Stegostoma tigrinum: one gene and its partners. The protein of the gene in region 1 purifies or fractionates together with the protein of each later gene. This does not show direct contact. Links are inferred from orthologs where the notes say so. Each region holds a gene or a part of one and is shown on either strand. Other genes may lie near its edges.

Region 1 (6,868 bases):
ACAAAAAGTCAGAGTTAACACTTCTGGTCCTGTGACCCTTCCTCGGTTTAGGTAACTCTCTTTCTCAGAGAAGAGAGCTCAGAAGAGCCAGGAGGAGACATGAGAAGTTGTTGACGGATAGGATCAGGGTAAACCCAAAGGCTTTCTATGGCTATTTAAGGAATAAAAGAATGACAAAAGTAAGATTAGGCCCAATCAAGGATAGTAGTGGTAAGTTGTGTGTGGAGTCAGATGAGATAGGGGAAGCGCTAAATGAATATTTTTCAACAGTATTCACTCTAGAAAACAACAATGTTGTTGAGGAGAATACTGAGATACAGGCTACTAGACTAGGTGGGATTGAGGTTCACAAGGAAGAGGTATTAGAAATCCTTCAGAGGGTGAAGACGGATAAGTCCCCTTGGCCGGATGGGATTTATCCTTGGATCCTCTGGGAAGCCAGGGAAGAGATTGCCGAGCCTTTGGCATTGATCTTTAACTCGGCATTGTCTACAGGAATAGTGCCAGATGACTGGAGGATAGCAAATGTGGTTCCCCTGTTCAAGAAGGGGAGTAGAGACAACCCTGGTAATTATAGACCAGTGAGCCTTACCTCAGTTGTTGGTAAAGTGTTGGAAAAGGTTATAAGGGATAGGATTTATAATCATCTAGAAGAGAGTAAATTGATTAGGGATAGTCAGCACGGTTTTGTGAACGGAAGGTCGTGCCTCACAAACCTTATTGAGTTCTTTGAGAAGGTGACCAAACAGGTAGATGAGAGTAAACTGGTTGATGTGGCGTACATGGATTTCAGCAAGGCGTTCGATAAGGTTCCCCACAATAGGCTATTGTACAAAATGTGGAGGAATGGAATTGGGGGAGACACAGCAGTTTGGATCGGAAATTGGCTTGCTGAAAGAAGACAGAGGGTGGTAGTTGATGGGAAATATTCATCCTGGAGACCAGTTACTCGTGGTGTACCGCAAGGGTCGGTGTTGGGTCCACTGCTGTTTGTCATTTTTATAAATGACCTGGATGAGGGCGTAGAAGGATGGGTTAGTAAATTTGCAGACGACACTAAGGTTGGTGGAGTTGTGGATAGTGACAAAGGATGCTGTAGGTTGCAGAGAAACATAGATAAGCTGCAGAGCTGGGCTGACAGGTGGCAAATGGAGTTTAATGCAGACAAGTGTGAGGTGATGCACTTTGGTAGGAGTAACCGGAAGGCAAAGTACAGGGCTAATGGTAAGATTCTTAGTAGTGTAGATGAGCAGAGAGATCTCGGTGTCCACGTACACAGATCCTTGAAAGTTGCAACCCAGGTTGACAGGGCTGTTAAGGTGGCATACAGTGTTTTAGCTTTTATTAATAGAGGGATCGAGTTCTGGAACCAAGAGGTTATGGTGAAGCTGTACAAAACTCTGGTGCGGCCGCACTTGCAGTATTGTGTACAGTTCTGACCACCACATTATAAGGAGGATGTGGAAGCTTTGGAAAGGGTGCAGAGGAGATTTACTAGGATGTTGCCTGGTATGGAGGGAAGGTCTTACGAGGAAAGGCTGAGAGACTTGAGGCTGTTTTCATGAGAGAGGTTGAGAGGTGACTTAATTGAAACATAAAATAATCAGAGGGTTAGATAGGGTGGATAAGGAGAGCCTTTTTCCTAGGATGGTGACAGCAAGCATGAGGGAGCATAGCTTTAAATTGAGGGGTGAAAGATACAGGTCAGATGTCAGAGGTAGTTTCTTCACTCAGAGTAGTAAGGGAATGGAACGCTTTGCCTGCAACAGTAGTAGATTCGCCAACTTTAGGTACATTTAAGTCATCATTGGATAAGCATATGGACGTACGTGGAATAGTGTAGGTTAGATGGGCTTGAGATCGGTATGACAGGTCGGTACAACATCGAGGGCCGAAGGGCCTGTACTGTGCTGTAATGTTCTATGAAATGTTAACTCTTTTTTTTCCTTCACAGATGCCACCAGACCTATTGAGCTTTTTCAGCAACTTGTTTTTGTTCCTGTTTTATAGCATCTGCAGTTCTTTCAGTTTTTAGTCTGATCCTTCCCAATTACCTTGACTCTATGTGCATAATTACGGCTGCTGTAATGTCTGATATTTGCACCTTCCCCACAACAAAGGTCAAGCTAATTGGCCTATCCTTTTTTTTTCTGCCACACGTCCTTCTTGAATAGTGGGATTATGTTTCCATCTTTCCAGTTCTGGTGTAGCATTTCCAGAATCTAGCAAATCTTGTAAAAAGAACATCAATGCATCTGTTACCTTGGTAGCTACTTCTTTTAAAGACCCTAAAATTGAGCTCATCAGGAAATATTTAACACAATTTTCTTGATAACATTCACCCTCATCTAAATGCATAACTTGCTGGACACATTTAAATAAACGTGATTTTACCTGAAATCTGCAAGACTAAGTTGCAACTTCTTCCTGGCTTTATTTCTAGTAATGTAGTTTGTAGCAGCTCCTCTTTCGTACTGGTGAAAAACAAAGCATTTTAGTTTTCAGCAAAAGAAAAATCTCAATTTTGAGCATCAGTGTAGCAGCTGCACTGTAGACAATATTTCAACTGGGGAAGGACAGAAGCTGTAAGAATGGCACAGCTACTGAGTACGAGGGAAGAGGGCACAGTGGGGGTGGGGTGGGGGGGGGAGGACATGGGTAGGGGTTACTGGTTACTAGGCAATACCGGGGGGGGGGGGGGGAACAGTTACTAGTTACCAGGCAATGGGAGGAGAGGGGCGGTTTATTAGACTAGCTTGCTGGGTCCAGGCCCGAGGCTGCCATCGTAAAAAGTCACATTCGTAATGCTGCCGAATCGCTCAAGACAAAGCGGACGGCAGAACTGTAAGAGATTTTTACATAATCATTCCCGGCCGGTTACCCTCTCCTCCCAAGCCCCGCACCTTCTTTTTCTCCAGTCCACCCATCTCCAACAACCCCTCCGCACATGGACAACTTTGAAAGACCCCCAGGACGTCGTCACAGAGTTGGCTATCCCACGCCGTACTAAATAGGCACAAGTTCCGCATTCAGAAATAACGTTGCAAATTTACATAATCAACTTTTTTTCATATAAAAATGAAACAATGTATTGAGAAGTCAGAGCTTTCAGGAATTAATTACAGGCATTTCATGGATGCCTGAGTATGTCCCATTGGGTGCATGCCCAGTTTCAGGGAGGGGGCGGAGTCTGTTTTTTTCTCTGTGGAGTATGTCATGTAGTTGAGATATTCAAAATGGTGCAGTAATTCATTAAAGCAGATGGACAGACCTTATTTTCTCTGGTGGGGAAATATATAATTTAATGGTTATTTAATGAACCCTGTGGGTAGCTTCTTCTGTCATAGGGGGTTTCTCAGGGCAGTGTCCTAGACGCAACCAAGTCCAGCTGCTTCACTAATGACCTTCCCTCCATCATAAAGTTAAAAGTTGAGATGTTCACCAATCGGTGCACAGTGTTCAGCGCCATTTGCGACTCCTTAGATGCTGAATGTTCAAATACAAGAAAATCTGGCCCTATCCAGATTTGGGCAAGTGACATTTGTGCCACACAAATGCAAGAAAATGACCATTGCCAATTAGAAATGATCCAACCCACCAACCTTTGATGGTATTGCTGCCACTAAATCCCCAACTATCAACATCCTGGGGGTTACTATTGACCAGAAACTCAACTGGATTGGCCACATAAACACATTGGGGCTCAAGAGCAGGTCAGAAGCTCAGAGTTCTGCGGCGAGTAACTCATCTCTTGACTCATCAATGTGTGTCTACTGTTTCCAAAAAGGTATTCTACCAATCAAACAATTGATCAGCAGAGTTGGGGTCATTGGTGTCACGCTAATGGAACTGTTATCAGGAGACAGTAGGAACTGCAGATGATGGAGAATCTGAGATAACAAGGTGTAGAGCTGGATGAACACAGCAGGCCAAGCAGCATCACAGGAGCAGGATTGGCTTGCTGTGTTTATCCAGCTCTACACCTTGTTATCTCTGAACTGTTGTCAGGATTTGGTGATATAAATTGTCCATATACCTGCTTGTCATACTTTCAGGGGTAAGGATGCTGATTTGTTACTGAAAATCCCTATTCTATCCCCGTACTCCCTTTTTAAAATATTTATTCATGGAATTAGATGTCATTGGCTGGGCTAGCATTTATTTCCCATCTCTAACTGCCCTGGAGAAGCTGGTGGTGAGCTGCAATCGTTGATGCATAGTGATACCTGTAATGATATTACAATGGAACAGTGAAAGAGTTCCCACGTCTTCACAGTGTGTTGCTTGGAAGGGAATTTGCAGGTGGTGCTGTTCCCACATATCTTGCTGCCCTTTTCCTTCCTGGTGATAGAGGTCATAGATTTGGAAGGTGCTATTGGGAAAGTATTGATAAGTTACTGCAGTGTATCTTGCAGGTGGCACATACTGCTGTGCATTAGGTGGTGAAGGGAGTGAATGTTGAAGGTGGGTTGGGCACTAGTATTGCAGGCTGCTACGTGCTGATTAGCATTAAGCTTCTTAAATTTGGTTGAAGCTGCACTCATCCAAAAAAGTGGAGAGTGTGCCATCACACTGTTGACTTGCGTCATACAGTTAGTAGACAGGCTTTGGAAAGGCAGGAGGTAAGTCGTTCATCATAGAATTCCTAACCACTGACCTCCCCTTGTAGATACAGTATTTATATGGCTGGGCTAATTCAGTTTCTGGTCAAGGGTAACCCTAAAAATGTTGATAGGAATTCAGTATTGGTAGTGTCATTGAACATCAGGAAGTGATGATCATTGCCTAGCACTTGTATGGCATAAGTGTTACTTTCCACTCATCAACCCAAGCCTAGATGTTGTCCAGGTGTTGCTGCACATGGACACAAACTGCTTCGATACCTGAGAAGTCACATTCGATATAATTTGTTGAGCGTTCTAAATTAACTCTCAACTGTTGTCTAGAATGACAAAGCAAACCACTCTATTCAAAAGTAATTGGGAACGCATATCAAGAGAGCAGACCCCCTTAAGGATCAAAGAGATTGTCTTTGTGTTGACCCTCAGGAGATGGGAGAGATAATAAATGAATATTTTGCATCTGTTTTTACTGTGGAGAAAGAAATGAAGCTGGAGAACTCAGGAAAATAAATGTTAATGTTTTGAAAACAGTTTACATTACAAAAGAGGAACTCTTGGAGGTCTTACAAAATATAAAGATGGATAAATCTCCAGGATCTTATCTAGTAAATCCTAGGACTTTTTGGGACATTAGAGAAGAAATTATTGGGCCCCTAGGAGAAATATTTGTATCATCTGTAACTGACTGGAAAGTGGTTAATGTTGTGCCTCTGCTGAAGAAAGGGTGTAAGGAGAAGCTTGGGAGCTGTAGACATGTAAGTCTGACCTTGTGGTGGAAAAGTTGTTGGAAGTGTTTCTGAAACAGCATTTGGAGAAGCAAGGAATGATTAGGAAAGTCAGCATGGTTTTGTACAAGGGAAATTGTGTCTCACAAACTTAATTGAGCTTTTTGAGCAAGTAACCAAAAAGATTGATGACGTCATAACTTTAGAAAAGCCTCTGACAAGGTTCCACATGGTAGACTAATTGCTAAAGTCAGATCACATGGGATTTAGGGTGAGCTTGCCAAATGGAGGCAAAATTGGCTGAACAACAGGAGACGGAGAGTGATGGTGGAGGGTTGTTTTTCAGACTGGTGACCTGTGATCAGTTATGTTCCACAGGGATCCGCACCGGGTTCACTTTTGTTTGACATTTACATATGAATATGTTATTTAAGTGCAAATACAGAAAGCATGTTTAGTCGGTTTGTGGATGAGACGGAAATTGGTGGTACAGTGGATAGTGAAGAAAGTTAGAGATAACAAGGTGCAGAGCTGGATGAACACAGCAGGCCAAGCAGCATCAGAGGAACAGGAAGGCTGACGTTTCAAGCCTAGACCCTTTTTCAGACCCTTCGGTCTATGCCCGAAACGTCAGCCTTCCTGCTCCTCTGATGCTGCTTGGCCTGCTGTGTTCATCCAGTTCTGCACCTTGTTATCTCAGATTCTCCAGCATCTGCAGTTCCTGCTATCAGTGTAGAAGGTTATCTAGGATTACAAACAGATCTTGGTCAATTAGGTCAATGTGCTGAAGAGTGGCAGATGGAGTTCAATTTGGGTAAATGCGAGGCTTTACATTTTGGAAAAACAAACAAAAACAAGAATTATACAATTAAAAGTAGGGCCTGAGGCACTGTCGTAGAACAGAGAGACCAAGGGAATAAAATGTGAGGCTGGATGAACACAGCAGGCCAAGCAGCATCTCAGGAGCACAAAAGCTGACGTTTCGGGCCTAGACCCTTCATCAGAGAGGGGGATGGGGGGAGGGAACTGGAATAAATAGGGAGAGAGGGGGAGGCGGACCGAAGATGGAGAGTAAAGAAGATAGGTGGAGAGGGTGTAGGTGGGGAGGTAGGGAGGTAGGGAGGGGTTAGGTCAGTCCAGGGAAGACGGACAGGTCAAGGAGGTGGGATGAGGTTAGTAGGTAGCTGGGGGTGCGGCTTGGGGTGGGAGGAAGGGATGGGTGAGAGGAAGAACCGGTTAGGGAGGCAGAGACAGGTTGGACTGGTTTTGGGATGCAGTGGGTGGGGGGGAAGAGCTGGGCTGGTTGTGTGGTGCAGTGGGGGGAGGGGATGAACTGGGCTGGTTTAGGGATGCAGTAGGGGAAGGGGAGATTTTGAAACTGGTGAAGTCCACATTGATACCATATGGCTGCAGGGTTCCCAGGCGGAATATGAGTTGCTGTTCCTGCAACCTTCGGGTGGCATCATTGTGGCAGTGCAGGAGGCCCATGATGGACATGTCATCAAGAGAATGGGAGGGGGA
Region 2 (7,210 bases), on another chromosome or scaffold:
TTTCTATTTTTTGTCTTTTTAGTTTTCTTGATTACTTCCTCCAGAACTAAAGTCCCTGAACACTAGAAACACTCATTTTCACTCCTTGAATTGTGATATCTTAGCAATTCTTGGCCGATGGCAGTGAGGTTTTAAATTTATTTCCAAAATATGGGCATCACTGACAAGTTTAGCCCTTTTTACCGAGATGTACCAGGTGGGTGATTAGGACTTGGAATAGTAGTAGAGCTGTATTACAACCTGACAGCTTAATTCACTGAGTCCCAATAAGAATCCAAACTCCATAACAATCAACTGTGTGGTGCTTCAAGGCATTTGTATTTTTAAAAAGGATTGGGAGCATCTAGTAGCCCTGGCTCATCCATCCTCTGAACCCAGCATGTTACTTTTGAAGTGGTTCCAGCCCCAGATCCAATACCACTGAGCCAAATGGGATAAGTTCAGAATAGATCAAACACCTCTAAGATGGACATTCAGGAGACATTGTGGGTCATTGGAGCACCAGAATTTATTCAACATTAATCTTGCTTGAAATATCCCTCCCTTTACTATCGAGCCAGGAGACAGTTAATTGTTCGATGAGGATTGTGGAATTAGGACCAAGTGTATCTAAAAATGAGATGCTAATTTAATGCAGCTACTACAGCACTGCATGCTAAACAGTAGCAGTGCCATCTTTATAGACAAAGGAAAGAGGTCATTATTTCTAATTCCTAGGTTGTTATTCCTAACAGAACAGATCAGATCAGATCAAAGTATTGCAGTTCTTTCATATCCAGTTATCAATAGTGGGGATCAACTAAACAACTAATTAACAAAAGATGCTCCATGAATACCCCCATCTTCCATGACAGGAGGGCTACCATTAATTGAAAATACCAGGCTAAAGCATTTGGAGCTATCTTCAGCCAGAAATGACATTGATAATCTATTTAAGCCTTCCTCCTGAGATCACAAGCTACATGGATACCAGTCTTCAGCCAATAAGATTCTCTACATCAAAAAAAACTAGATGAGGGGAATACAGCAAAGGGAAAGGTCCCTAAAAGCACTCTGTTAAACATTTGGCACAATACTTAGTGTATGGGAGTAAAGGAATATGATGGTGTTTTAAATTTAGTTTCACTGGAAACTGCATATGGATTTTGTTTCTCTAGAAATAAAGCTCATTAAATTATGATTCTGAATTGACGACAATTGTATCTAGCCCAGAAAGAGACTGTGGTCAGATGAGGTCTTGACAACTCTGGGAGAGCGAACGGTTGATGTAAACAACTAGACTACAAAGCTGCAGACTTTTCATGTAATGTTATCGCATTTAGGTGCTGCTGAAATACATGATACATTCATTAGTGTGTGGAAGTAGACTGAAATTTAATGTTAGCGAATTATTCATTGCTGAATAACAACTAAACTGACCAGTTATTATAACAGCTAAATATAAAGTAAATCTTTTCAACTCAATGTTTCTCAACATTTATAACTCTAGTTTTATAAAAGTGTTCCATAAATCAATTGTTGAAAGACTACAGAGGCATGATAAAAGTCCATTCAGCTGTCCAGCCTAAGAAAAAAGTATAAGGCAAGAGACCCTAGTGGAGTAGTGAGAAAAAGTCCTGAGGTTCACTAATGCTAACATTTTTGGATAAGTTGCCAAGTGTTGATGACATGAAAAACAAAGAAGAGAAAGGGCTGCTTGCACATGCCCATTTAGACCAGTACTTGTTGCTGATTTGATTTGATTTATTGTCACGTGTACCTATGTATTGTGAAAAGCTTTGTCTGTTAGCAATACAGGTAGGTCATAGAAAGCAAGGACATTCACATCATAGGGTGAAAAAAACTTGGACGTCATGAGGCCATAAACATTTTAGCGCATAGGATGTGCGCAAGGCAAGATCAGCATTAACAAAATCAACATTATTTGAAGTTAGAAAGTCTGTTCATCAGTCTAATATGGCAGGGAAGAAGCTGTTCTTGAACCTTCTGGTGCATGTGTTCAAGCTTCTGTATCTTCTGCCTGACCAAAGGTTCTTGTAGGAGAGCATCCCACTGGAGTGGGATGGATCTTTGTTGGCAGCCTTTCCGTGGCAACAAGAGGTATAAATGGAGTCCATGGATGGGAGAGATAATGAGAACTGCAGATGCTGGAGAATCCATGGATAACAAAGTGTCAAGCTGGATGAACACAGCAGGCCAAGCAGCATCTCAGGAGCACAAAAACTGACGTTTCAGAGGGCAGAATCCTCTCCCCATCCCCATCTCTGATGAAGAGTCTAGGCCCGAAACATCAGCTTTTGTGCTCCTGAGATGCTGCTTGGCCTGCTGTGTTCATCCAGCTTCACACTTTGTTATCCATGGATGGAAGGTTGGCTTCCGTTATGCTCTGGGCTGTGCACACGACTTTCTGTAGTTTCTTATAGTCCTGGCAGAAACAGTTGCTATAGCAGGCCATTATGCACCTGGTGCATCTGTAACAGTTGGTGAGGGACCTGATGGACATTCCAAATTTCCTGAGCTGCCTGAGGAGGAACAGGTGTTAATCTATTTGGAAGTCCAGGATAGGTTGTTGGTTATCGCCATACCTAGGAACTTGACACTCTTAACACTCTTGACCTCAGTTCCATTGATGTAGATGGGGATGTGTTCTTTCTTTCTGAAGTTAACATCAGTTCTTTGCTCGCCATGGTTGTATGTTTTTACTGTGCAACTAGATTGCTATTTTCTGTCATAAAATCTGATTAACTTCAACATATGTAGGAACAGGAGTAGAGCCATCAGCCTGTCAAACCCTCACCACCATTTAATACAATCATGGCTGACTGAAAACTTCAATGCCTTCTACCCAAAATAACCCCATAACCCCGTTCTGTGTTGGTAATCAGAAATCTGACAACTTTTACATCAAAAATACTCAACGACTGAGCTTTTATAGCACTTCGGTCCAATCACAACCCCTCAGATAATGATGCAACGTGTGCCCCGGACAGTAAGACCTACATAACAAAAGCTTTGTTTGATATGTCTGGCAAGTAACACTTTCACATCAAGCGTCAGGTAATGACCACCTCTGATAACAATATTTTGTTTATAGAGCAGCTTTAATGTAATAAGGTATCCCAAGGCATTTTTTTTTAGAGTATTGTGAAACTGATCTGGGATGACAGTGTGGAGCTGGAGGAACACAGCAGGCGAGGTAGCACCAGAGGAGCAGGAAAACTGATGTTTCAGGTCAGGACCCCTCTTCAAACTTTCTGAAGAAGGGTCCAGACCCGAAACATCAGCTTTCCTGCCCTTCTGATACTGCCCCGCTTGCTGTGTTCCTTCAGCTCCTCACTGTGTTATCTCTGTCTCCAGCATCGGCAGTTTTTTTAATATATGTTTTATATACATAGATATAAAATATTATATATTTTATATCTATGTCTATAGCTATATGTGTGTATATACATTCCATGGTGTGGAAACAGGCCAGCTACAACAACACTCAACATAGGTTCATAAGTAGGCCATTCAGCCTTTCAAGTCTGCTGCACCATTTAATATGATCATTGTTGATCGAAAACTTCAATGCCTTTTACCCAAATAATCCCACGATCTTTTACATCATCGGTACCCTGCAATCTATCAACATCTGGTTTAAAAATACCCAACTACTGAGTCTCCACAGCCCTCTGATCCCAGTTTCCAAAGATTCACAATCATCCAAGTAAAATAATTTCTCCTTGTCTTTGTCCTTAATGGAAATACCTTGTTTTCTAAATTGCACCCCTGGCTTTTGACTCTCCAACCAGGGAAAACGTTTCTTAGACAACAAAGTGTGAAGCTGGATGAACACAGCAGGCCAAGCAGCATCTCAGGAGCTTGGCCTGCTGTGTTCATCCAGCTTCACACTTTGTTGTCTTGGATTCTCCAGCATCTGCAGTTCCCATTATTTCTGAAAACGTTTCTTATGCCCTATCTATCCTTTAAAGTAGTTTACAAGTTTCAGAGATTGTGTCTCATTCTTGAAAACTCTGGTGAATATAAGCGCAGTTTGCCCTATTTCTCTTTATAGAACAGTATTGCCATCCAGGGAGAAGTCTGCTGAACATTTGCGGCACTCCCTCTGGCAGCATAAGGCTCGAAATGTATTTGGTAATGTCCTCGTCCATGCAATTGTGCCTTCACTCTCGTTGCCCGGAACGATTGTTGGGCGGACTGTTTGTTCCAGCCGCCGCTTCTGCTGCGGACGGGTTTTGCCGACGAACGTTGTGCTCCCGCAGGCTGAAGTTTCCTCACACGTGCCGGTTTCTGATCGGTTTGTCGGGATCCCATGGCTGCTTTCGACTTAATCAGGACGATTGGAGAGGAGGACGAGGTTCCGGAGGAGGAGACGGGCTCTGAGGGAGAGGTGAGGCCGGGCCTTGATGTCGGTTACTGTGACTTCGGCTGCGGCGGTCACTGTGGAACGCAGCAAGATCCCAACAAGGCTTCTGAAGTGCAGTCAGACCAGACTGGAAACGTTCATTCTCTCCTCACAAAGGCTGGCAGACCTGACGTGTTTCTCCAGCACTTTGTTTACTTTTTTTAAAATTTAAAATCCCACTAAACCGGGTAATGGGACATTCTGGGTTCAAATCCCACCCCTTTGCTTGAGCCCTGCACGAAATCGAGACCGATGGAGGGCCGCGTTGTCTTTCCGACAGACCCACCCCCACCTGGCTGCTTAGGTCAGCGTGACCAACTGTTTGGACGTTTACACATACTTGAGGCAGGTGTACCAGGCGGTTTGCTGCTCTCCCTTCATTTTTGACCTTCCTTTCTCAATCAAACGCTATGTCCCCCTCCTGCCTGTAATACTCTTTGATAAGAAAGCAGCCGCCCCCCCATCCCCCGGCTGTATGGTGCATTCTGCCAAAGTATCCCTTAAATTTCTCCCAGAGTTACGTAAGGTGTAGGAGCAGAAATAGACCATTCAACTCGTCGAGTCTGCTCCACCATTCAGTGAGATCATGGGTGATCTGATGATACTACCCTCGCAGAAAGAAATTCCTCCTCATTTCTGCCTTAAATGCCCAACTTCTTAATTTGAGATTGGTCCCAGTCGGCTGCAGTGGGTGCAAAAGATGTCATGATACAACTTCAAAAAAGAGCAGAGGAGTTTTCGCTAATGTTCTGACCAACAATCTCCCCTCATCAGCACAAAAAAATTGTTCATTACTGCAGTGAAGTTAGTTTATAGTGTCCAAATTGGCTGCTACATTAGAACGGTGGCTAAGCTTTTGAAAAGTATTTTACTTTGAGACGTCTGGTCACTATGAGAATTGTAATAAAAGTTCAATGACTCCTTGTTTAAAAATATAGCTTTTTATTTGAAGCAGAATGCCCCAGAGATAAGGGCTGAGACAGTTAAAGGTTCTGTGACAAGGCAAAAAGTGTAAAAGGCCAGGGTCAAAGGTTTGAAGAATATAGGTCATTTGTTACTATGCACAAGAGAGATGAAATACTGTACTAAAGCAAGTCTGTTCATTTGTCTGCAGTAAATATCATCCATCAGATGTGAATTCATTCACTCAATCTAATCTGATTGGTTTTCCCCATACAAGGCTTTTAACTAATACAACTGTTTCATCTCGAAATGTACAGTTTATATGTGCTTTAATTTACATTATTAATGTAGATAGTGGAGAACAACAGACACTCTCAAAAATCGCTCAGTTCAAGACGATATAACCTAAACTCTGAGATTTGCTCTATAGGCTATCATGTAGTACCTCATGTGAGTATTTGAAAATGAATCTTTTCCAGAACCCGTGTTAAAGTCTCGTCAGAACCTCTTTTCTGTTGAACTTGTAATAGAGTGTGTCTCTTAAAATTGCTTCTAGAAATTTGCTTGTGAGGAAATGAAGAATATTGGGGTTGCGCAACAGCTGAAAATTCTCAGCAAGCATTGAGGTAGTGGATTAAAAGGATTTGATATGAGTTACAACACAGCAGAGTTTTGGATGAGCTGACATTTATCAAGGGTGCAACGCAGCAGCCTAGCCAGGGTAGCATTTGAGTTAGTCACGTCTTTTGACAGCAGAAGATATGCTGAGGTGGGAGTGGAAGGGTATTTCACGAGAAGCTCAGCTCGAGGTAAAATAGGATGCTTAGTTCTGAACAGTGTGGTTCAATCTTGGACAGTATCTATGGAGAGGGATTGAATCGGCTAGGGAATTGAGGTTTGATGTGTGGACTGTAGAAAGTATTGTTGGTCTTCCAAACATTTAATTGGAAGGTATTTCTGATCATCGGGTCCTGTCTGTCAGACATGCAGTATGACCATTCGAAGGCAGTGGAGGGTTGAGCAGTGTGTGTTGATACGTAGCTGGTTGTTGAATGTTTTCAGGTGAAATCGCTGAGGGGCAGCCTGCAGATGAGAAATGGTGATGCACTGAGAACAGATGATTGGGTAAGTCCAGAAGTCAAAATGCAGGAGTGAGAAGAAGAACAATCACAGACAATTTTCCAGTAAGAGTAGAAGCAGATGAGTACAGTGCCAGGCTATCAGAACAACAGAGGATAGTGTGGTCAATCATCTCAGACTGCTGACAGGTCTAGAAAGACGAGGAAGGATAGATTACCACAGTCAATTTAGAGTGACCTGTTTGACTTCAGGTGTTATCATAGAATCCCTACGGTGTGGAAACAGGCCATTTGGCCCAACAAGTCCACATTGACCCTCTGAAGAGCATCCCACCTAGACTCATCCCTTTACACTTGCCCTGTTACCCTGCATTTCCCAAGGCTAACACACCTAACCTGCACATCCCTGAACACTATGGGCAATTTAGCAAGGCCCATTCACAGCTTGGGATAGTGGCAGGAAACCAGAGCACCCGGAGGAAACACACGCAGACACGGGGAGAATGTGCCAACTCCACGCAGATAGTCACCTGAGGGTGGAATTGAACCCTGGTCACTGGTGCTGTGAGTCAGCAGTGCTAACGACTGTGCCACCGTGGGAGAAGAGGTACGTTTCCAAATTATGGCAAATTTTGGAACAACTTGAGGATTTTTCAGCCGAGTGAGTGTTTGAAAATGGAACAGTGGTTAGCATTAAATAAAAACTGTAAGAACTGCAGATGCTGTAAATCAGAGACAAAAGTAGATATTGCTGGAAAAGCTTGGCAGGTCAGGCAGCATCTATGGAGAGAAATCAAAGTTAACATTAAGTGAGGGTCAG
Region 3 (7,464 bases), on another chromosome or scaffold:
CACTTGATATTCTACATCTGCTGTATTTTACTACTGTATTAATTTGAAATGATCTCAACTGAGAAGAGGTTCGACATGTTAAGAATCACCAGCACCATGTGGAAGTCCTAAATAGTCAGGTAGACAAAGGGAAATAAGTAAATGTGGCATCATTTAACTTTATATTGGAACACAGGTAGATATTTCTGTCATCATAAGCAAGGTTCCAGGATGGTGTGTTGTCCTCCTGATGCCAAGATCAAGGATGTCTCCAAGCAGACATGTGATACTGTGAAAGGGGAGGGTAAGCAGTCAGAGATCATGGCTCCTATTCAACCTAACCTCATAGACAGAAACAGGTACGAGGTCCTGAAAGGGAATTTAGGGAGTTAGGTAGAAAATTGCAAAACAGGGTCTCTAGGTTTGTAATCTCAAGATTACTCCCTGTTTCACGTGTTAGTGAGGCCAGTTGAATGCATGGCAAAAGAGATGGTGTTGGAGTATTCATCAGATATCTGGATCATTGGGATTTCTCCCAAGGTAGGAGGTACCTGTACAAGGTGGACAGGTTGCATTCTAACTGGACATCGACTGAACATCAATGTCCTAGCAGGGAGATTTGCTACTGTCACTCGGAATGGGTTAAATTAGTGTGGCAGGGGGTTGGGAATCACAGGTCAATCATCTAGATCTTAGGTGAGAAGGTCCTTCACTCAAAGGGTAATAAATTCTTGGAATTCTTCATTCAAAAAGTAGGAAATACTCCATTGTTATGTACAGTTTAGCTTGAGATGATGACAGATTCCTGGTGTCAGGGAATCACGGAATAAATATGCACTGCAGTGGGTGGATGGTATTGAAACTGAAGGTCAGCTATAATTGTACTGAATGGTCGAGCAGGCTGAGTGATGCACGTGGTCTACTCATGCTCCTACTTTTTACGTTCTCAAAAGTTTTAATGATCACACTTCCAAGATTATTATAGCGGAAAAATTTAATAAGGTCACATACAATGACGGAATCCCACTATTAACAGTCTTAATTTTACGATTTCTTTTCAAATGTTTTAATTGATAAATGACCTCATTTCAGAAGGACTGCAGACTGATATGAAAATTGGGCAGAATTCATGACGCTGATCACACAGTCCGGTAGCAGCATGTGCTGTGAAGTAATTTAGATTATAAGTCAAACATAGGTCCTGCACAGTGGCTAGCACTGCAGCCTCACAGCACCAGGGACGTGGATTCAATTCCACCCTCTGGCAACTGTGTGTGAAGTCTGCATGTTATGTCTGTTTGATTTTCCTCTGGGAGCTCTGGTTTCCTCCCATCATCTGAAGATATGCAGGTGAGGTGGACTATCCATGCTAAATTTCCACATTAGTGTCCTGGGGTGTGTAGATGAATTAGCTATGGGAAATACAGGGTTAATGGGAAAGCGTAGGGAGGTTGGGTTGCTCTTTGGACAATCAGTGTGAACTTGATGGGCCAAATGGCCTGCTTCCACACTATAGGAATTCTATGACTTGTTCTTAATGCTTTCCATTATGGAATTTTCTCAAGGCAGCACTGAACTTATTCAATTTAAACCTATGCTGGTGAGGGATGAATTGCCTTAGCTCTCAACAGTCTTTACTTACACTAATGCACATCAGAAAATATCCTTAAACTGAATAGCAGCAACATTAAACAACCTTACAGAAATGTAAAGGTGAAGCTGTGGAGAGTAAAGAGTAAATAAGGGAGAAGAGGCTGCAAGGAGAAAATCTGTCCGTGGAGATTAAAATGACAAAGTTAACATGAAGAAGTTAGTAATAGGAGAACAGTTAAGTTAATGCTAATAAGCAAGTTATTGGTTCTGCTCTTTCCTCTCTGACACTTTACAATTGCCACCCCATCCCATCCCATGTCATGTCATAGTATTCAACTTCCAACTGGCACCTTCCCAGAATTTTGAGTCAAAGAGTTCATCAAGAAGGGAATGTGGGTGATAACTGTGATTAAGTAGTAAAAGACTACATGCATTACAGGCATCATTCAAGGTAATAGTTTACCGTGCGCTCGGGTTTTTAAACAAGGTCGCGGGAGATCTAGCAACGGATCAGAGATCCTCGGATGACGGCTCAAAGTGTAGTGTGTCGGCTCCCTCTCTCCCTATTTGTTTCAGAATCCCCTTTCCCTCCCCCTTTTCTGATGAAGGGTCTAGGCCTGAAACGTCAGCTTTTGTGGTCCTGAGATGCTGCTTGGCCTGCTGTGTTCATCCAGCTCCACACTTTGTTATCTCGGATTCTCCAGCATCTGCAGTTCCCATTATCTCTGATACAATTATTTCAAAACAACTCGTTCAAGGTGCGGGGCCCGGAGGGGAGGGGGTGCGCTATTCAGACCAACCCCTCTGCCCATCTGTGCCTCATCTTTCACACCTGGCAGTGAGACCGGGTTGAGAGTTGGGTCGGAGACAGTGGGAACTGCAGATGCTGGAGAATCCATGATAACAAAGTGTGGAGCTGGATGAACACAGAAGGCCAAGGAGCATCTCAAGAGCACAAAAGCTGACGTTTCGGGCCTAGACTCTTCAGAGAGGGGTCGGGGCCGGTAGCCTCTCCTGAAACACTCCACAGTGTTCCTCTTCACAGTGAATCCTCTCCACAGATGCTGCCGGACATGCTGCGGTTTTTTTTTCTCTCCAGCAACATCTGATGTTGCTGCCCGCGCTGTAATGCCCCGTTCGGTTGAACCTCGCAAAACCAAAACGTGGGAGAAGAGAAAGAGCCTGTAAAGACCGGTTTTACTGAACTGGGGCGTGGGTGGAGGGAATGGAGCAGCACCGTGGATAGGGCTCGGTCCCGCCGGGCCGTTAGACGGCACTCGGGAGGCCCCGGTTAATGCCGGGCTCCGGACTCACCTCCGATCCTCGGTGTAAAAGCGAGCCTGCACCTGCGCCATGTTGGGAGGATGGAGTCGGAGTCGCGCTTGCGCACTGTCTGCCGCCAGCACCAGGCCACCCCCAACCATCGCGCTGTCACAGAGCACCCGCGCCACGTGACCTCCCCAGGCACGACCTGTCGACCGCCGCGGCGGGGAAAATAACAAACCTCGATCACGCCTTCTGCTATCTATTGGACGTGGCTCTGAAAGGCGCGCTCCATCCTAATGTACGGCGGCTGCTCTCACTTTGAAGGTCACCAGATGTGACTTTTGGGGGAGAAGAAGCTGTGCTACAGGATGGTCTCCGCTACCTCAAAAAAACACAAGACGGCAAATCAAGAAAACTAAGATAACAAAGTGTGGAGCTGGATGAACACAGCAGGCCAAGCAGCATCTCAGGAGCACAAAAGCTGACGTTTCGGGCCTAGACCCTTCATCAGAGAGGATGTCCCATCAAAGGGTCTGGGCTCCACACTTTGTTATACTGGATTCTCCAGCATCTGCAGTTCCCATTATCTCCGAATCAAGAAAACTAATGCGGCTCTTAAGTATAACTTGATCATTGCTTAATTCTGTCCTGTCTAATACAGCAACTTTTTTTAAAAAATGGAAAAATGTCGCTCACCAGGGTTTACATAAGCGAGGGTTCCTCACAAAGATCGTCTACTTTATCTGAAAACTTCTTAAACAGGCAGATTCAACACCCACAGATGAAAGGAGAACACTCTGCGACGCCTTTCCTGGCGTCAGGATGTCCCATACAAAAGGAATTAAATGTTCAGTCACAGTTGTGATGCAGGTAAACACCACATCCAATTTTCAAGCCGCAAGCAAGCTGTCACAAACAGCAAAATAAAGATCTGCTTTCGTTATTGGTGGCATGTAAATGCATACAGAACAAAATGTCACCACACCTACAGTTGTAACCCTTTCAGACCCCTTTATCACACTGTCAAAACTTGGCGAAGGCAGTTGAGGAAGGTTTGTTTTCCTGTGTAACCAGAGTAACTGAGGTATAAACATTAGGCAGAATGCCAGGAATAACTCTCTTGCTATTCTTTAAAATACTGTACTGAGATCATCCAAACAGCCAGAGTGCACCTCAATTTAACATCTTATCCAAAAGCCAGCACAGCCAATGGTGCTTTGGAATTGTACTGCAGTCGGGTGTTGGCTTTGATTTCCGTACTCAAGTCTCTGAGAATTGGGACTTGAACCTGAAACAGGCGGTTCAGAGGTGAATGCACTATCAGCCAAACTACAACTGAAAGCCTACGAAAATTGAAAGAAGTCACATGAGCTTAGTAAGTATACAGATGGCAGCTCAAAACAAAAATCAGGAATATATTTTGTAATAACAAGGTGTAGAGCTGGATGAACACAGCAGGCCAAGCAGCTTCAGAGCAGCAGGAAGGCTGATGTTTCGGACCTAGAGCTTTCTTCAGAAATACCACTTCAACCTTCCTGCTCCCCTGATGCTGCTTGGCCTGCTGTGTTCATCCATCTCTGCACCTTGTTATCTCAGCTTCTCCAGGTTCTGCAGTTCCTACTATCTCTGAATAAATTTTGGAAGTATGAATTAGGAAAATGTACAGTTTAAATTTTAACGTTTAATGGAGCAGGTAGACAGCTCACTGGCACACTTTAAATGTGAATGTAATGAAAGAAATAACAGAGCGCTTGGCATTAAACCTGAAGGCATAAAATTTAAAATGAAGTAGATAATTTCACAAGATCTCAATTAGGGTGAAGTCAGAGCATTGTGTAGTTTTGTCATCTCAGTGCAGATTTGTTTGAATGTTCTGAAGACATATTGAAAGGTTTGAGCTTTTCCAATAGTGCCAACAGGTTGAAAAAGCCTCTTGGATACTTCAATTCTGAGAAGTTAAAATTGATCGAGAGACAATCATTACTTATTAATGAACAAAAAAGATAAACTAAAATAATTAATGGATAGTTTAGAAAAAAAAGGGAACTTGTGAAACCAAAGTCAAGAAGTACGTTAATTTGGGAATTAGATTGCTGCTCAAAAGACAGAAATATTAGAACATACACGAGAAATGTAACAATAGCTTTGGAATTTAGCCAGCGTTATGTCTGTAGATTTAAAGTTTTGTTTCTGTTATTTTTAAATTGTCAAACTCATTTTTGGTTTCTACTTACATCTTGTATCATCGTTCACACGTACAACATTCTTGAAGAAAATAGGAATTGCATAAACCAGAGACAGTAGTGTGGAGCTGGAGGAACAACAGGCCAGGAAGCATCTGAAGAAGGGTCACAATCCAAAATGTCAACTTTCCCGTTCCTCTACTGCTGCCTTGGCCTGCTGTGTTCCTCTAGCTCCATGCTGTGTTGTCTCTGACTCAAGCATCTGCAGTTCTTGCTGTCTCTGAGTGCATAAACCAGATTTCTTCCACTTTGAGATAATGGGAATTGCAGATGCTGGAGAATCCGAGATAACGAAGCGTGGAGCTGGATGAACACAGCAGGCCGAGCAGCATCTTAGGAACACAAAAGCTGAGGTTTCGGGCCTAGACCCTTCATCAGATAAAGGGAAGGGGAAGAGGGTTCTGAAATAAATAGGGAGAAAGGGGAAGGCAGACTGAAGATGGATAGAGGAGAAGATAGGTGGAGAGGAGAGAGACAAGTTAAAGAGACGGGGATGGAGCCAGTAAAGGTGAGTGTAGGTAGGGAGGGGATAGGTCAGTCCGTGGAGGACTTACAGGTCAAGGGGGCGGGATGAGGTGAGTAGGTAGGAAATGGGGGTGCACCTTGAGGTGGGAGGAGGGAATAGGTGAGAGGAAGAACAGGTTAGGGAGGCGAGGACGAGCTGGGCTGGTTTTGGGATGCGGGGGTGGGGGGAGGGGTAGATTTTGAAGCTTGTGAAGTCCACATTGATAGCATTGTGCGGCAGGATTCTGAAGCGGATTACGAGTTGCTGTTCCTACAACCTTTGGGTGGCATCGTTGTGGCACTGCAGGAGGCCCTGGATGGACATGTCATCTAAGGAATGGAAGGAGGGATTGAAATCGTTCGCGACTGGGAGGTGCAGTTGTTTATTGCGAGCTGAGTGTAGTGTTCTGCAAAGCAGTCACCAAGCCTCCGCTTGGCTTCCCCAATGTAGAGGAGGCCACAATGGGTACAGCGGATGCAGTATACCACACTGGCAGAAGTGCAGGTGAACATCTGATTGAAGTGGAAAGTCCTCTTGAGGTCTGGGATGGGAGTGAGGGAGGAAGTATGGGGGCAGGTGTTACACTTCCTGCAGTTGCAGGAGCAAGTGTCGGGTATGGTGGGGTTGGAGGGGAGTGTGGAGCTGACAAGGGAGTCACGGAGAGAGTGGTCCCTCTGGAAAGCAGACAAGAGTGGGGAGGGAACAACGTCTTTGGCGGTGGGGACGGATTTCAGATGGCAGAAGTGTCAGAGGATGATGCGTTGGATCCAGAGATTGGTGGGGTGGTACGTGAGGATGAGGGGGATTCTCTTTTGGTGGTTGTTGCGGGGATGGGTTGTGAGGGATGAGTTGTGGGAAATGTGGGAGACATGGTTGAGGGCATTCTCTACCACTGGGGGGGGGGGGGGGAGCGGTTTTGTGGTCCTTGAAAAATGAGGACATCTGAGATGTATGGGAGTGGAATGCCTCATCCTGGGAGCAGATGTGGCAGAGGCGAAGGAATTGGGAACGGGGATGGAATTTTTGCAGCAAAGTGGATGGGAGGTGGTGTACCCACATGGGCTCAAGCTATGCCTGCCTCTTTGTAGGTTACGTGGAACAATCCTTCTTCCGTATCTACACTGGCCCTAAACCCCACCTCTTCCTCTGTTACATTGATGACTGTATCAACGCCACCTCGTGCTCCCACGAGGAACTTGAACAGTTCATCCAGTTCAACACCTTCCACCCCAACCTCAAGTTCACCTGGACCATCTCCAACACCTTCTTCACATTCCTGGACCTCTCTATCTCCATCTCAGGCAACCACCGAGAAACCAATATCCGTTTCAAGCCCACCAACTCCCACAGCTACCTAGAATACACCTCCTCCCACCCACCTTCCTGCAAAAATTCCATCCCCTATTCCCAACTCCTTCACCTCTGCCACATCCCTCCACACCACTCCCCCCCCCCCCCCCCCCCACCCCGTTAGTGGTCGAGAATGCCCTTGACTGTGTCTCCCGCATTTGTGGTGCTGGCTCAAAGGGTCAAATGGCTACTCCAGCACCTATTGTCTATTTCCTGCAACTCATCCCTCACACCCCATCCCCGCAATAACCACCAAAACAGAATCCCCCTTGTCCTCACCTACCACCCTACCAACTCCAGATCCAACGCGTCATCCTCCGACACCTCTGCCATCTACAATCCAACCCCAACACCAAAGACATTTTTCCCTCCTCTCCCTTGTCTGCTTTCCGGAGGGACCACTCTCTCTGAGACTCCCTTGTCTGCTCCACACTCCTCTCCAACACCACCATACCAGGTACTTCCCCTGCAACTGCAGGAAGTTCTACACCTGCAACCCCACACCTCCTCCCTCACCCCCATCCCAGG

What was found. Proteins that work in one complex are often made in the same cells at the same time.
Region 2: the proteins of pes (region 1) and ddx27 purify together in Homo sapiens (affinity purification with mass spectrometry; 4 studies listed by BioGRID and IntAct, counting the BioPlex papers as one, with this or other methods). This does not show direct contact. The link is inferred for Stegostoma tigrinum from reciprocal best matches to the Homo sapiens genes PES1 and DDX27.
Region 3: the proteins of pes (region 1) and wdr12 purify together in Homo sapiens (co-immunoprecipitation; 7 studies listed by BioGRID and IntAct, counting the BioPlex papers as one, with this or other methods). This does not show direct contact. The link is inferred for Stegostoma tigrinum from reciprocal best matches to the Homo sapiens genes PES1 and WDR12.

What each region holds. Positions count from the first base shown.
Region 1 is NC_081379.1:22,745,035-22,751,902, reverse strand, and holds the start of pes (pescadillo), read right to left. Parts: upstream 3,011-6,868; 5' UTR 2,928-3,010; coding exon 2,904-2,927; intron 2,475-2,903; coding exon 2,395-2,474; intron 1-2,394. UniProt on the Homo sapiens protein: Component of the PeBoW complex, which is required for maturation of 28S and 5.8S ribosomal RNAs and formation of the 60S ribosome.
Region 2 is NC_081372.1:55,194,210-55,201,419, forward strand, and holds the start of ddx27 (probable ATP-dependent RNA helicase DDX27), read left to right. Parts: upstream 1-4,208; 5' UTR 4,209-4,315; coding exon 4,316-4,393; intron 4,394-7,210. UniProt on the Homo sapiens protein: Probable ATP-dependent RNA helicase. Component of the nucleolar ribosomal RNA (rRNA) processing machinery that regulates 3' end formation of ribosomal 47S rRNA.
Region 3 is NC_081360.1:26,349,438-26,356,901, reverse strand, and holds the start of wdr12 (ribosome biogenesis protein wdr12), read right to left. Parts: upstream 3,003-7,464; 5' UTR 2,997-3,002; coding exon 2,887-2,996; intron 1-2,886.